Oryzias latipes: one gene and its partners. The protein of the gene in region 2 interacts with the protein of the main gene of each other region in a pairwise test. Links are inferred from orthologs where the notes say so. Each region holds a gene or a part of one and is shown on either strand. Other genes may lie near its edges. The genes, in order: pole3, drap1 and gtf2b.

Region 1 (3,753 bases), on a different chromosome or scaffold from region 2:
TCACCCAGGGCCACCCTGCGTAGTCATCACCTTTGCTATAGTCAATGAAAACATCAATGATGCAATGCGGTAATATAGGTTTCATTCATATTATTGCTTTAAACCAGTTATCCTGTTGACAGTAAATGTGTAACTTGAAGCATTTCAGTTTATTTCCGGTTGAAAATGCAGGCGTGTAAAAGGTCATTATTGTTTCCAGGAAACGAATAGTATATTATTTTTACCCCTGTCAGGTCACGGGCTCCGTAATTATTCAACCTCAAGTAAGGTCAAGTAAAAAAAACTGTTGTGGAAGAAAGCCTTGTTAAAGCCAACATTAAAAAGACTGTGACAACAGCAATCTTATATCACCACCATGCCAAAACCCGAAAAGAAAAGAAAAGAGCAAGATAGTCTGCCTACAAAAGGCTGTGTTATAGACGCGCACAATTATGCTAACCAAACGGCTGCAACAGATGACTCAATGGAAGCTAACGACTTCACTTTGACCCCCCTTCCTGATACGCCACTGAAGTCCTCACTACTGAAAAGAGGTAAAGCTTCTGAAATGGAAGATCCTGAAGGCATTATTACCAAACTCTCTTTCCTCTTCAATTCAAGATCTGATTCCCTTGAAAAGATAGTGAGGGAGAGCTGTATGAAAATCAAAGGTCTGAAAAAACCCATTGATTTCGTTTCGGAGGGGCTGAAGGAAATGAAAACTAAAATGAAGGAGGTTGACACCCAGGTTAAAATGGGGGAACAGCGCATGGGGTCCTGTGAAAGTCGCATTGAAGAGCTGGAGCGTTATTCTCGAAGATGGAACTTGAGGCCGGCCGGGGTTCCGGAAAACAACACAGAGGATGTGAAAGCTAAAGTCATCGACATCTGCCAAAAAAAACAAAAAAAAAAAACGGAAAAACCAAAACCAAAAAAAAATAACTGTCGTTTCTTCACTTGTGTTCTCTGCTACTTATTCGGACCCCCCTACAAAATGGCGACCGCACTATATAGTGCACTAGATAGGGGTTAGGGCGGTAATTCGGACACAGGTGTTCCTGTTTGTCCCTGTGTGACATACAGTGTGTTTGCAATATTTGTCAATAAAGTTCATTTAAAAAAACTGGGCTTGAACGGAAATGACATCACAAAAGGCGGGAGGTCGCAATTTCTCTGATGACGTCCTTCCGGGAGGTTCGCGGGAAACGTCTCAAAACAAAAACGCGTTTCCGCCAGTGCTTTTAGGCTGAATCTGACAGCACGTGTCCCTTTAGCGCACGTGCGAATCCATTCAGTCAAAGAGGTGAGCTCAGCGCCGAGCAGAGTTGCGTGTTTTCCGCGCGAGCGGAGGAATGGCCGAGAAACCGGAGGATCTGAACCTTCCTAACGCGGTCATCACGCGCATCATCAAGGAGGCGGTGAGTTGGTTACCCCGGGAAGGAGCTCAGAGGGCAAGACGAGTGTCGGAGCTGCCGGACTCACCTGAACGATCGTTACCGAGCAACGGCGAAGTTTAAATGTGTGCAACCAAAACAAAGATGGCGCTCCCGCTGCCTGGACGTCCGTTCATTAAAAGATTAAAGCAGCAGTTTATTCACTAACTTGTATTTTTTGTAAAAACTAATTTAGCTTTTCATGCTATGTCATTCATTACCTACATGATGCAAAAAAAAAGAAAAAAAAAGAAGTCATTAGTTTCCAGCGTACTGCACAGTGGTGTAGTGGTCAGCACTCTCCCCTTACAGTGAGAACATGCTGGTTCAAATCCCGTCTGTGTGGAGTTTGCCTTGTTTGGATGCATGCTGGGGTCATGTCAGCCATCACTGGACTGTAGGAGTGAGATTACACTGAAGCGGTGGAGAAGCATCAACAGAGACAAATAACGTGATGGCCGTTTGCAGTACATGAAAATGACAGTACCGAAAAAAACACAAGTAGCCTCTTTGCCCGAGTTTAACCTAAAAAAAAACCTGTTCCTCAAATTAGTAGCTCACAGATCCTCCATAGTACTATTTAGTACAATACCCCTCAAATAATTAGTTGGTTTACTGTATAGTCTTTGAGTAAATCTATCACTCCAATGTGAGTAGACGTGACACTAACATCACTTAGCAGATTTGAGTTATGATCATTCCTTCATTTATTAGTAGTACTACTAAAAATAGTATTAATACAGAGTATTTAATCCTTAAAACCTGTTCTTATAATAAATAGCTCACCATTGCTTCATAGTACCACTTAGTACTTCATACAGCACTTCTACTGACAATAGTTTTAGTCTTTTCGTTTGTTTTTCTGTATAGTTTTGGACTGGTCCACTACAAGCGTCTACAATCGTTAATGATTGTGAGATCTCAGTTGTGGATTATTAAAATAATATGCAGTGAAATGAGGTGATAGTAAATGTGAGTTCTAATTAGTACTGCAAAGGAATGGTGATCTACTAATTAGAGGAAAAAGCTATTTGCTTAATCAAAATCTAGACCAAAAATCTTACATTACTTTTATGAGACATCAGTATTATGGTTTGATGTACACCTTTATGTGTCTGTGCAGAAAACAGAATTGTGTGACTGTTTGTTTTCCCAGCATGCTTTTCTCTAAACAGACATGTCATTTCCTGCTGCCACATGGTGGCACTGCAACGCTACACCAAAGGAGTTTGCTCATGCGTTTCTCAACAGTCCTGTGCTTTTCAGCTCTGCAGGTTTTTGGCAGAGATCCACCGGCAGTTCCGTGATCCGGATCTCTGGTTCTCTGAACCGTTTGGTTTCTGCCGCCACGGTTCTGATTCTCTAACGCTCTGCTTTCCCACAGCTTCCAGATGGGGTGAACGTATCCAAAGAGGCGCGCAGAGCCATTTCCCAGGCCGCCAGCGTCTTTGTGCTGTATGCAACCTCCTGGTGAGAAGCCCCCCCCCCCCCCCCCCCCCATCCACAAAACTCTGCGTTCAGCACTTTCTGTCCGTAAATAAAGACCGTTTTCTGCTTTTAGTGCCAATAACTTTGCACTGAAGGCCAAACGGAAGACTTTAAATGCTGCAGATGTGCTGGCAGCGATGGAGGAGATGGAGTTCGAACGCTTCCTGGAGCCTCTCAGAGCGGCTCTAGAAGGTCAGACGCACAAACACACAGCCTCAGAATGCTGCTGTCCAACAGCTAACAGTGTGTTCCTCCACAGTCTACAAGAAAGGTCAGAAGGGAAAGAAGGAAGTGTCTGAGCAGAAACGCAAAGAAAAAGAGAAGAAGGCAGACTGTGAGCATGAAAAGAGCAAGGAAGATGAGGAGGGAGAGGATGAGGAAGAACAACGCATGGAGGAGGAGACCGAGGAGGGGGAAGAGGAGGTGGAGAACTGAGGAGACAGACCTGTCCGACATGAGACCGGACTCTGGCTTCACAAACTGTAAAAACTGCTCTCAGAAGGACGGCTTCATTCCTGCAGTCCCCTCTCCATCAGCCAGCGGTTTGGTGTTCCCATGATACACTCTTTTGTAGTTTCAATAAATGTTTTGTATACAAGTAGAACGTACAGGTTCTTGAACCACAAGTGAATGGAGGAGAGCCCTCCAGCAGCAGATGCCAGGGTCATCATACGGAAGTCCTCCAACCACATCAGGCTGTTTGAACTGACAGGTGAGGAAACACCTGACCTGGAACCAGTTCAGTAGACGACGACCCAAAAGCACACGTACCTGTTCGGGGGCTGACCCGGATGGCTTTTAGGTTGTCTGGGCTCGTGGAGGGTTGTAGAGGATCTTAAGGGGAGCACAGGTA
Region 2 (3,753 bases):
AAAATAAATGAATAATGCAGGCGTTTTATTTGTTTCTAAACCAGTAATAAAATCAGAGACATGACGTGTTCTAGATGTGACCGTTCACCCCTCAGTGGCATGGTTCCAGGCTGTTCTGCCTTATGAATCTGGATGATAATCTCTTTATATGTCCACCAGACCAAATCTTGAATTTCTCTTTGTTGCTTTTTTACCCACAACTGTGTAATATTAAACCCTTGGGCCACAAAGGGGTCTAAGATTTGGCAGAAAGGCCGGACCGGGAGCTGTTGTACAGAGTGTTTTGGTATCACAACTCATGAGATGAAGAAATAACGTGGAATCTTGACAAAAACATCTGTAGCTTTTGATAGAAAATTGACATACATGTAGAACATTTTGGTGTCTTTATTTCAAAACTGTGGCTTTTCTTCCCATTTTAGAGCCATTTGCACCAATGGATTGATGTTCCTTTAGGGAAAAAGTAAATTAGAGTAACGCTGCGTTCAAGTGGAATTGGAATGATAGAAAAATGCTTCCCAGAAAAACAACATATATTCCAAAACCACATGCAATGCAAAATGAGCTTCTGCATCTGAGCAACAGCCCATTTATTTGTAGAGAACCATCTATGGGGAGGCACCAGAATTACAGGGAAAAGCAGGAAACTGGTTTGAGGCTGCATTTATCTTTTTTCTTTCTTTTTATGTCTGTCCACTTGTCCATTACATTATTTTCTAATTTTGTTTTGTTTTTTTGTTTTTGATGTTTGTATGAATATTTTTCGTTGTTTTTTTGTTTTTAAATTCTTAGTTAATTTTGGATTTTTAAGGGCTATCACCTCTGAAGGGGGATTCATAGCATTTAGGGGAGGACATTACCCCCCTTGCCCATGCCTGTATACGGCCTCGATTCACCGCTGTAATAAAAAGATACACCTGGAGAGGCTGGTTTGACATTGAACAGTTTTAAGTGTATCACAACCTTTCTTCTTAATGAAAACATGACTGGACTTTATTTTTTGTTTCTTAAAAAATGTTCCATTAAAGTATTATGTAGTAGTATTAGTTTTTTGTGGCTTTTCAGGACACTATTTTTTTTTCCAGTGATTTGCTGTTGTGTTTCAGTATTTGTTCATTTTTACTGGGATTTGTTGTTGTTGTATCTGGCACTTCTCGGCCACCGTATTTTTTCTCTACACACTAATGAAATCTGAGAGTAGCGCAGCAAGTGCCAACATGACCGGCGCTAGGACCTGGCAAAAGCAAACGGATCCCTTCAGCTCCTCAAGCAACGAGGAACGAGATGACGACAGCGCGCTAACAACTTAGCCGGATAGCTAACGCTATCTGGTGTACGTGCGGTGGAGGTGAATTCACATGAAATAGCAGTATAACCCCAAACATTTAACATTTTATTTTAGCTCAGTCACCAGGTTATTTAATTATGCCGAGCAAAAAGAAGAAGTACAACGCCAGATTCCCTCCGGTGAGTATAACCGTAAACTATCGGGTGTTGGGAGTCGCTAGCATTAGCAGACTGAGTGGGATTTGGCCTCTTTTGTTGCCAAGAGAATTAACAAGCTAAAGCAAGACTTTTCTAATGCAATTCGTTCTCCATCACCGAGATATTGTCCGTGTAAATAAAGCAGGTAACTAACTAATTCACGAGTCGTTCCCCGAGCAGTTTAGGCTGTGCGCCCTGTTGTTTTTAGCCTGTTATGCTAATCCTAATCTGGTATTATAGCTGTATAAACGGACAGTGATGGATCACAGCGCTGTCACGGCACGGCGCCCTTTAAATGTCACGTTTCTGCACCATCTAAATGAAGTTCTGGTTTGGTGTTTGTGGGATTTAGCTGATAAAGTCACACCATTATACCGATGGATGTTAATATTAGACAATAAATATTGGGATTCAGATGATAATAAACGAATCTGGGTGTAAAATTACAATAACCAGAACACGGGCTTTGATTTTAGAGATTTTGATTTTAATGTAAAGAGTCTCAGCAAGAGTGGATTAAACATAAAACTGGAATATTGAAAGACAACGCAATGTACAGAGGATCTCACTAAAGTGAGTACACCCCTCACTGTTTTCATTGGACACAAGACTTTTCGACACAATAAAATGTAGTCCGTGTTCATCTTTTATAGTAGTGAAAATTTTTTTCTTAAAAAATGACTATTAATATAGCCAAACCCCTGGCAACAAAAATGAATTTGGCATTTTCCTTCTCCGATATCATGTGACTCTTTACTGTTACAATGTCTCAGGTGTCAATAGATAGCAGGTGTGTTAAATATAGCATTAAAGCTCTTACACTCTCTCAAACTGATCACTGGAAGTTAAACATGGCTCCTCATGGCAAACCACTCACTGAAAAGAAAAAAAAGAATTGTCGGTTAACGTAAAGATGGCCTAGAAGGTTACCAACGGAAACGGTGCCCCCAAGACCATCCAGCGGTTTAAAAAAGACAGCTTTGACTCAGAACAGGTCTCGCTGTCGTCGGTCAAAGAAGTTCGTCGCACATTCACAGCATCACATCCAAAGCTGACCTTTGACACACATATGTATGAGAGCGTCGAGCTTTGCTGCAGGGGTGAGCCTGTCAGTGCTCAGACTATACGCCACAAACTGGTCTGCATGGCTGTTGTCCCACAAGAAAGACTTTTCTAAACGCGATGCACAAAAAGGCCCAGAAGTCAAGCAGACTAAGGAATGGATTACATGTTCTGTGGTCTGATGAGACCAAGATAAACCTGGTTCAGATGGCGTCAACCAGGTGAGGAGGACAAAGACAAGGGTGTCTTGCCTACAGTCAAGCACGGCGTTGGTCGAGTCATGGTGTGGGACTGCATGACAATTGGGGGGGGGGGGGGGGGTACAGAACCCCCAGCTTCTTCTCCTTTTTTTACATACTTTTGATGATTTTTACACAATAATTCTACAATGAGCATCAAGCTGTTCATAAAACTAAGTAACTTTTTACTGTAAAACCCACAAAAATTGAGATATAACAGTTTTTATATGTTTTAGAACAAAGATCAAATATGTGTAGATAAAATTAAAAGGCATAAATCCAAAAACAAAGCAAAGGTCAAAACAATGAGAAAACAGGCAAAGCTCCACTCAAAGCACTAAGGGGTATCACAATTACAGTATGTGTCATAACTCTTGTTATGTTATTTTAAACTAAAAATGTTAAAGCTAATAACCTTTTGAAACCTTCAGGTTTGATTTTGAATAGAAACGATGCAGATGAGGGTGTCGGATTTATAACTGTGTCATTGTGGCTGACAAACTCAACTGTGGGTCTGCAGAGGGCTAATTTGTTTCAATATTCCTTTTGCTTTCTCTACTTTTCATGGTTAGACTGTCACCTCTTTGGATAAACTGCCTCAGATTGGGCGTTTTTTTCTTTTGTTAAACATGTCGTCCTCTCATGTCCTCACGTAACACCAGACTGTTGTCTTTTCAGGCAAGGATCAAGAAGATTATGCAAACAGATGAGGAGATAGGAAAAGTGGCTGCAGCGGTTCCTGTCATCATATGTATCCTTTGCAAACGTGTTGGAACGTCACAGGGCCTTGTGGGATTTTTGCATGTGTGCAAACCTTTTGAACCGCTGCCCGTGTTTGCAGACAGAGCACACGCATGTGTGTCGCACTAATCAGCTTCATCTCAAGGGCAGCGGTCAGCAGATTTGTGCATCTCTGCAGGTTTGGTTCTGGTTTTTGACGCTTCAGGAGGAAGCGGTCTGTGCAGAC
Region 3 (3,753 bases), on a different chromosome or scaffold from region 2:
TTGGAGGAAAAATGGCTGAAAATAGATCCGTGATGAGAATAAAATGGACTTCCTTTACAGGTGACATAATTACCATAATTTCCGGACTATAGAGCGCACCTGATTATAAGCCACACCCATTACATTTTTAAAGGATAAACCATTTTGTACATACATAAGCCGCACCTGTCTAAGCCGCCCGCATGTGCCCACATTGAACCATGTGTTGTAGAATGGATGTGTACGTGCTGAAACCGCTCGCCGGCGTGTGTGAGAAAGAGGGGGGAGCTCGTGCAGCGGGATAGGAAGAGGGAGCATTCTCATTCACTCACGCTCCTTCCCCCTACACACCCAGTGTGCTGACACAAACACATACTCATTCTACAACACCTATGTAGTTAGTTCATTAGGTAGATTTAGTTGTTACTGTTATTTGTTAAAGAATAATGCGTTGTAATTATTACTTATACCGGTATTTATTTGGAAACCGCGACACCGTGACTTCTCCTGCTTCTTCATCACCGCGGTGATCAAAAATCCCACACCGTCACAGCTCTATTCCAAACAGTGCCTGTGACACGGCAGTAACACGGCAGCAATACGGTAGTAACAGCACTAACAGGGCTGGTTAAAAAAAACATCGTGGTAGAAGTCACTGAGAGCAGCAGTAACTTATTGGCGCTCGCCTCTGCGCAGCACGAACTTCCTGTGCACTGAAACCATGGAAGTCTTCCTCCTCAGTGTCGGATTGGAAAAGCGTCAGATATTCTTCACCACACACGCTCTGTGTCTCTCCTTCGTTGTCGCTGTCAGTGTCACTCTCATCCTGAGGTAAATTCTCTCCTGAGTCTGCACTGTCCTCTCTGTCACGCAGCAGACCGGCTTTTCCAAACCCGTTGGTGATGGTGGATTTTTTCACACTGCTGTTAACCATTGCTTTTAACTTGAAAGCTGCCTCATATGCATTTCTTCTTGCATTTTCCATGATGAGGGTCTGTTCGTGCTATTCATTCAGAAAGCGGGAATTTACATTAAACTTGTGTCTTCCTCGACACATATACCTTATCCCCCGTCTCACTCTTTCCTTTTCTGCTCGAGCGCCCCTAGCAGCCGTTAGAAAAAATGCATAAATCAGCCGCATCATTGAATAAACCGCAGGGTTGAAAGCGTGTGACAAAAGTGGCGGTTTATAATCCGGAAATTACGGTAGCAGGGAAAAAAAAGCTTTTAGGTTTGTTCAAAGCGCATGTGAAGGTCTGACTGTGGAGGCCAGGTCACACAGAACTCTTTACAGCTTCAGCATCAAGACAAACCTCTCCAGCTATGGACCCATTTTACCTCCAACAAATGTAGGCCAAGTACAGGTTTATCATTGAAGTACTCACCTACAACAAGCCCACACTCGGGGCAAATCATGTCCCCAGCGCGGTAGTCCTCCACCAGGATGGCATCAGGATGGTTGGGACATGTCACTCTGGGTAAACTGAGAGCATCTCCGCTGCACAAGCAAAACACAAATGATAACAAAAATGTTAAAAAGGAGCACAAAAACAACAAATAAATGACGAACAAAGAAAATCCCTTAAAGTCGATGTTCCGCTACATTCTCCAAGGAAGAAGCCAGACACCTTGATAGGATTAACAAATATTTATTAAGTCTACAAACAGCCTATGTTTCCAGTATTTATCAGTCGCCTGGTTCTGTAGTTGCTTGTGTCATCTACCCACCAAAACAAAACGCGTTGAATTATGGGAAATACCCATTTCACGATCGCTTCAACTTTCCTAGCATAAAGAAATATTAACGAGTTTAAGTCCCGGTAAATGTGCGGACGTGCGCGTTTCCACGGAGTTTCAGGCTGATCCAGAACTCCTTCAGGCCAACGTTCAGATGTCAGAGAAACGACAAAACCGGGAGTTCTAACGGGCAGCCTCTTCCGTGAAGCTGCCCGCGAGCTAGCTGGCTGTCACGGACGGAGTACAAAAGACTGAACATTCCCGAGAAGAAAAATGGAGCCCGACACTTTCTACCGCCAGAGTCCCACGGTCAATCACAAGACGCGGTGGTTTTTTACCACGAGACACTTTGAGTCACATTAACAAAGAAAACCGGGCTTTGAACGGTTAGCAGCCATTGCAACTCACCGACTTGTCGAAGCCATCTTCCTCCGCTCTCTTCTCCCGGACGGATGCAGCACTTGTACTTATAGACTATTCTGATCACGTGACCAACTACGGGAAGTCAAGAAGGCCAAATAAGTTTAAAAATAAATAAATAAATAAAGTCAAAAATATTGTGTCACCTTTGGTGAAAAAAATAAACCTGTCCCTTTCTTTTACATTTCAGACCCAAAGCGAATAAATCATCAGACTACATTGCCTGCAATGTTGTTGCCGTTTACACATTTGACAGGTCTACTAGAAAGTTGAAGTTGGGTGATCTTCTTAGTCTTCATTCGTGTGTTCATGATGAATACACACGTTGTGTGTTGTTGTGTTTCAGCTTTTCAGGTTTATGTTGACCCCACAGAGACCTTCAGACACCTGATCGACCATGAGGGGCAGGCTTTGGCCCCTCGCGGGCCAAAGGGTTGATGTGTAAATGAGCTTAGTTAAGGTCGGGGTAAACTAGTCATGGTTAAATTTGGGTTGGGGAACTGTTCAAACCTGAGTGTGTGCTTCAGTGTCTTTTTTTCTCTTTACATTGTTTTTTTTCTTAAGCTTCTTTCATTTATTTTTAAGCTAGCATTACTAAAACATTTAACCAATAAAAACAAGTTAAAGACCCACTTTAATGGAAATCACGTTTTTGGTGTTTTTAATATGTTCTAATGGCATTTTTCTCATGATATGATATGATGACATATATAGAAAATTAATCTTAAAACTGCATTTCTGCCCCAAAAAATGTTTTTTTTAATGCATTACTGTTCACAACACATAGAACAAGTATGTATGACAAGAACAATAGTCATAAAAACGGGACTGCCAGGGGATGGCATATATTACAATAGAAATATTGTAAAACACATCACAATACATTGAATATGTTCAAAGACAGAGAATTTTCATAAATACGTATTCCCTTTTTTGTTTGTGCTATTAGAAATAGTACATAAATACGATTCTAATTCTTTAATAAATACAGGGGGGAAAAGTTGTGAAATTTTGATTTGTTGATGTCTAACTTACTTTATATTATGATTGGATTAATTTTCAATTTTATGTTTGATTTTATGTTCTTTTTATGTAGGCCAAATATGATTCATTCAAATTTCATCTGAAATTGTGAGTCAAATTTGTGATTTATAAAACAAGTACATTCTTTCCAAAACTTTTTTGTAATATTACAGTTCCAAAATAGGTGGCTGATTGTTTCTGGGTGTTCTTAACAAAGAGTACAGTTAGGATTTGAAAAAGCTTGTAGCAGTGACGTAGAACTTGCAACGGCAAACCAGAAGCTACCTGCTCCATTCTGATCATCACCTGCAGACAAATAGATCCATGAACATCTTTGTTTTCCTGGTGTCAGATAAATGCATCTAGACATTAAAGAAAAACACAATTAGAAAAAACAGACCACAACAATAATCAAGTTTGTCATCCACGAGGGAGAAAAGCAAATGTGGCAGAAAATGTCCACCACATTTCTCTTCTCAAATGACTGCTTCTCCCCGTGCTCCTTTTATTAAGAATTCAAGTAGGAGGTAACAATTTCCAGACAAATAGAAAAGTTCATTAGGGGGTGTCGTATAATGACCCATTTGGGTGGAT

What was found.
Region 1: the proteins of drap1 (region 2) and pole3 interact in binary tests that used the Homo sapiens proteins (3 or more experiments, as listed by UniProt). The two-hybrid records come from large-scale screens. The link is inferred for Oryzias latipes from reciprocal best matches to the Homo sapiens genes DRAP1 and POLE3.
Region 3: the proteins of drap1 (region 2) and gtf2b interact in binary tests that used the Homo sapiens proteins (3 or more experiments, as listed by UniProt). The two-hybrid records come from large-scale screens. The link is inferred for Oryzias latipes from reciprocal best matches to the Homo sapiens genes DRAP1 and GTF2B.

Annotation. Positions count from the first base shown.
Region 1 is NC_019861.2:5,686,179-5,689,931, reverse strand, and holds pole3 (DNA polymerase epsilon subunit 3), read left to right. Parts: upstream 1-1,132; 5' UTR 1,133-1,331; coding exon 1,332-1,397; intron 1,398-2,796; coding exon 2,797-2,882; intron 2,883-2,973; coding exon 2,974-3,092; intron 3,093-3,159; coding exon 3,160-3,335; 3' UTR 3,336-3,501; downstream 3,502-3,753. UniProt on the Homo sapiens protein: Accessory component of the DNA polymerase epsilon complex. Participates in DNA repair and in chromosomal DNA replication.
Region 2 is NC_019876.2:27,236,795-27,240,547, forward strand, and holds the start of drap1 (dr1-associated corepressor), read left to right. Parts: upstream 1-1,215; 5' UTR 1,216-1,425; coding exon 1,426-1,467; intron 1,468-3,464; coding exon 3,465-3,537; intron 3,538-3,753. UniProt on the Homo sapiens protein: The association of the DR1/DRAP1 heterodimer with TBP results in a functional repression of both activated and basal transcription of class II genes.
Region 3 is NC_019875.2:5,826,542-5,830,294, forward strand, and holds the start of gtf2b (transcription initiation factor IIB), read right to left. Parts: upstream 2,221-3,753; 5' UTR 2,142-2,220; coding exon 2,125-2,141; intron 1,478-2,124; coding exon 1,365-1,477; intron 1-1,364. UniProt on the Homo sapiens protein: General transcription factor that plays a role in transcription initiation by RNA polymerase II (Pol II). Involved in the pre-initiation complex (PIC) formation and Pol II recruitment at promoter DNA.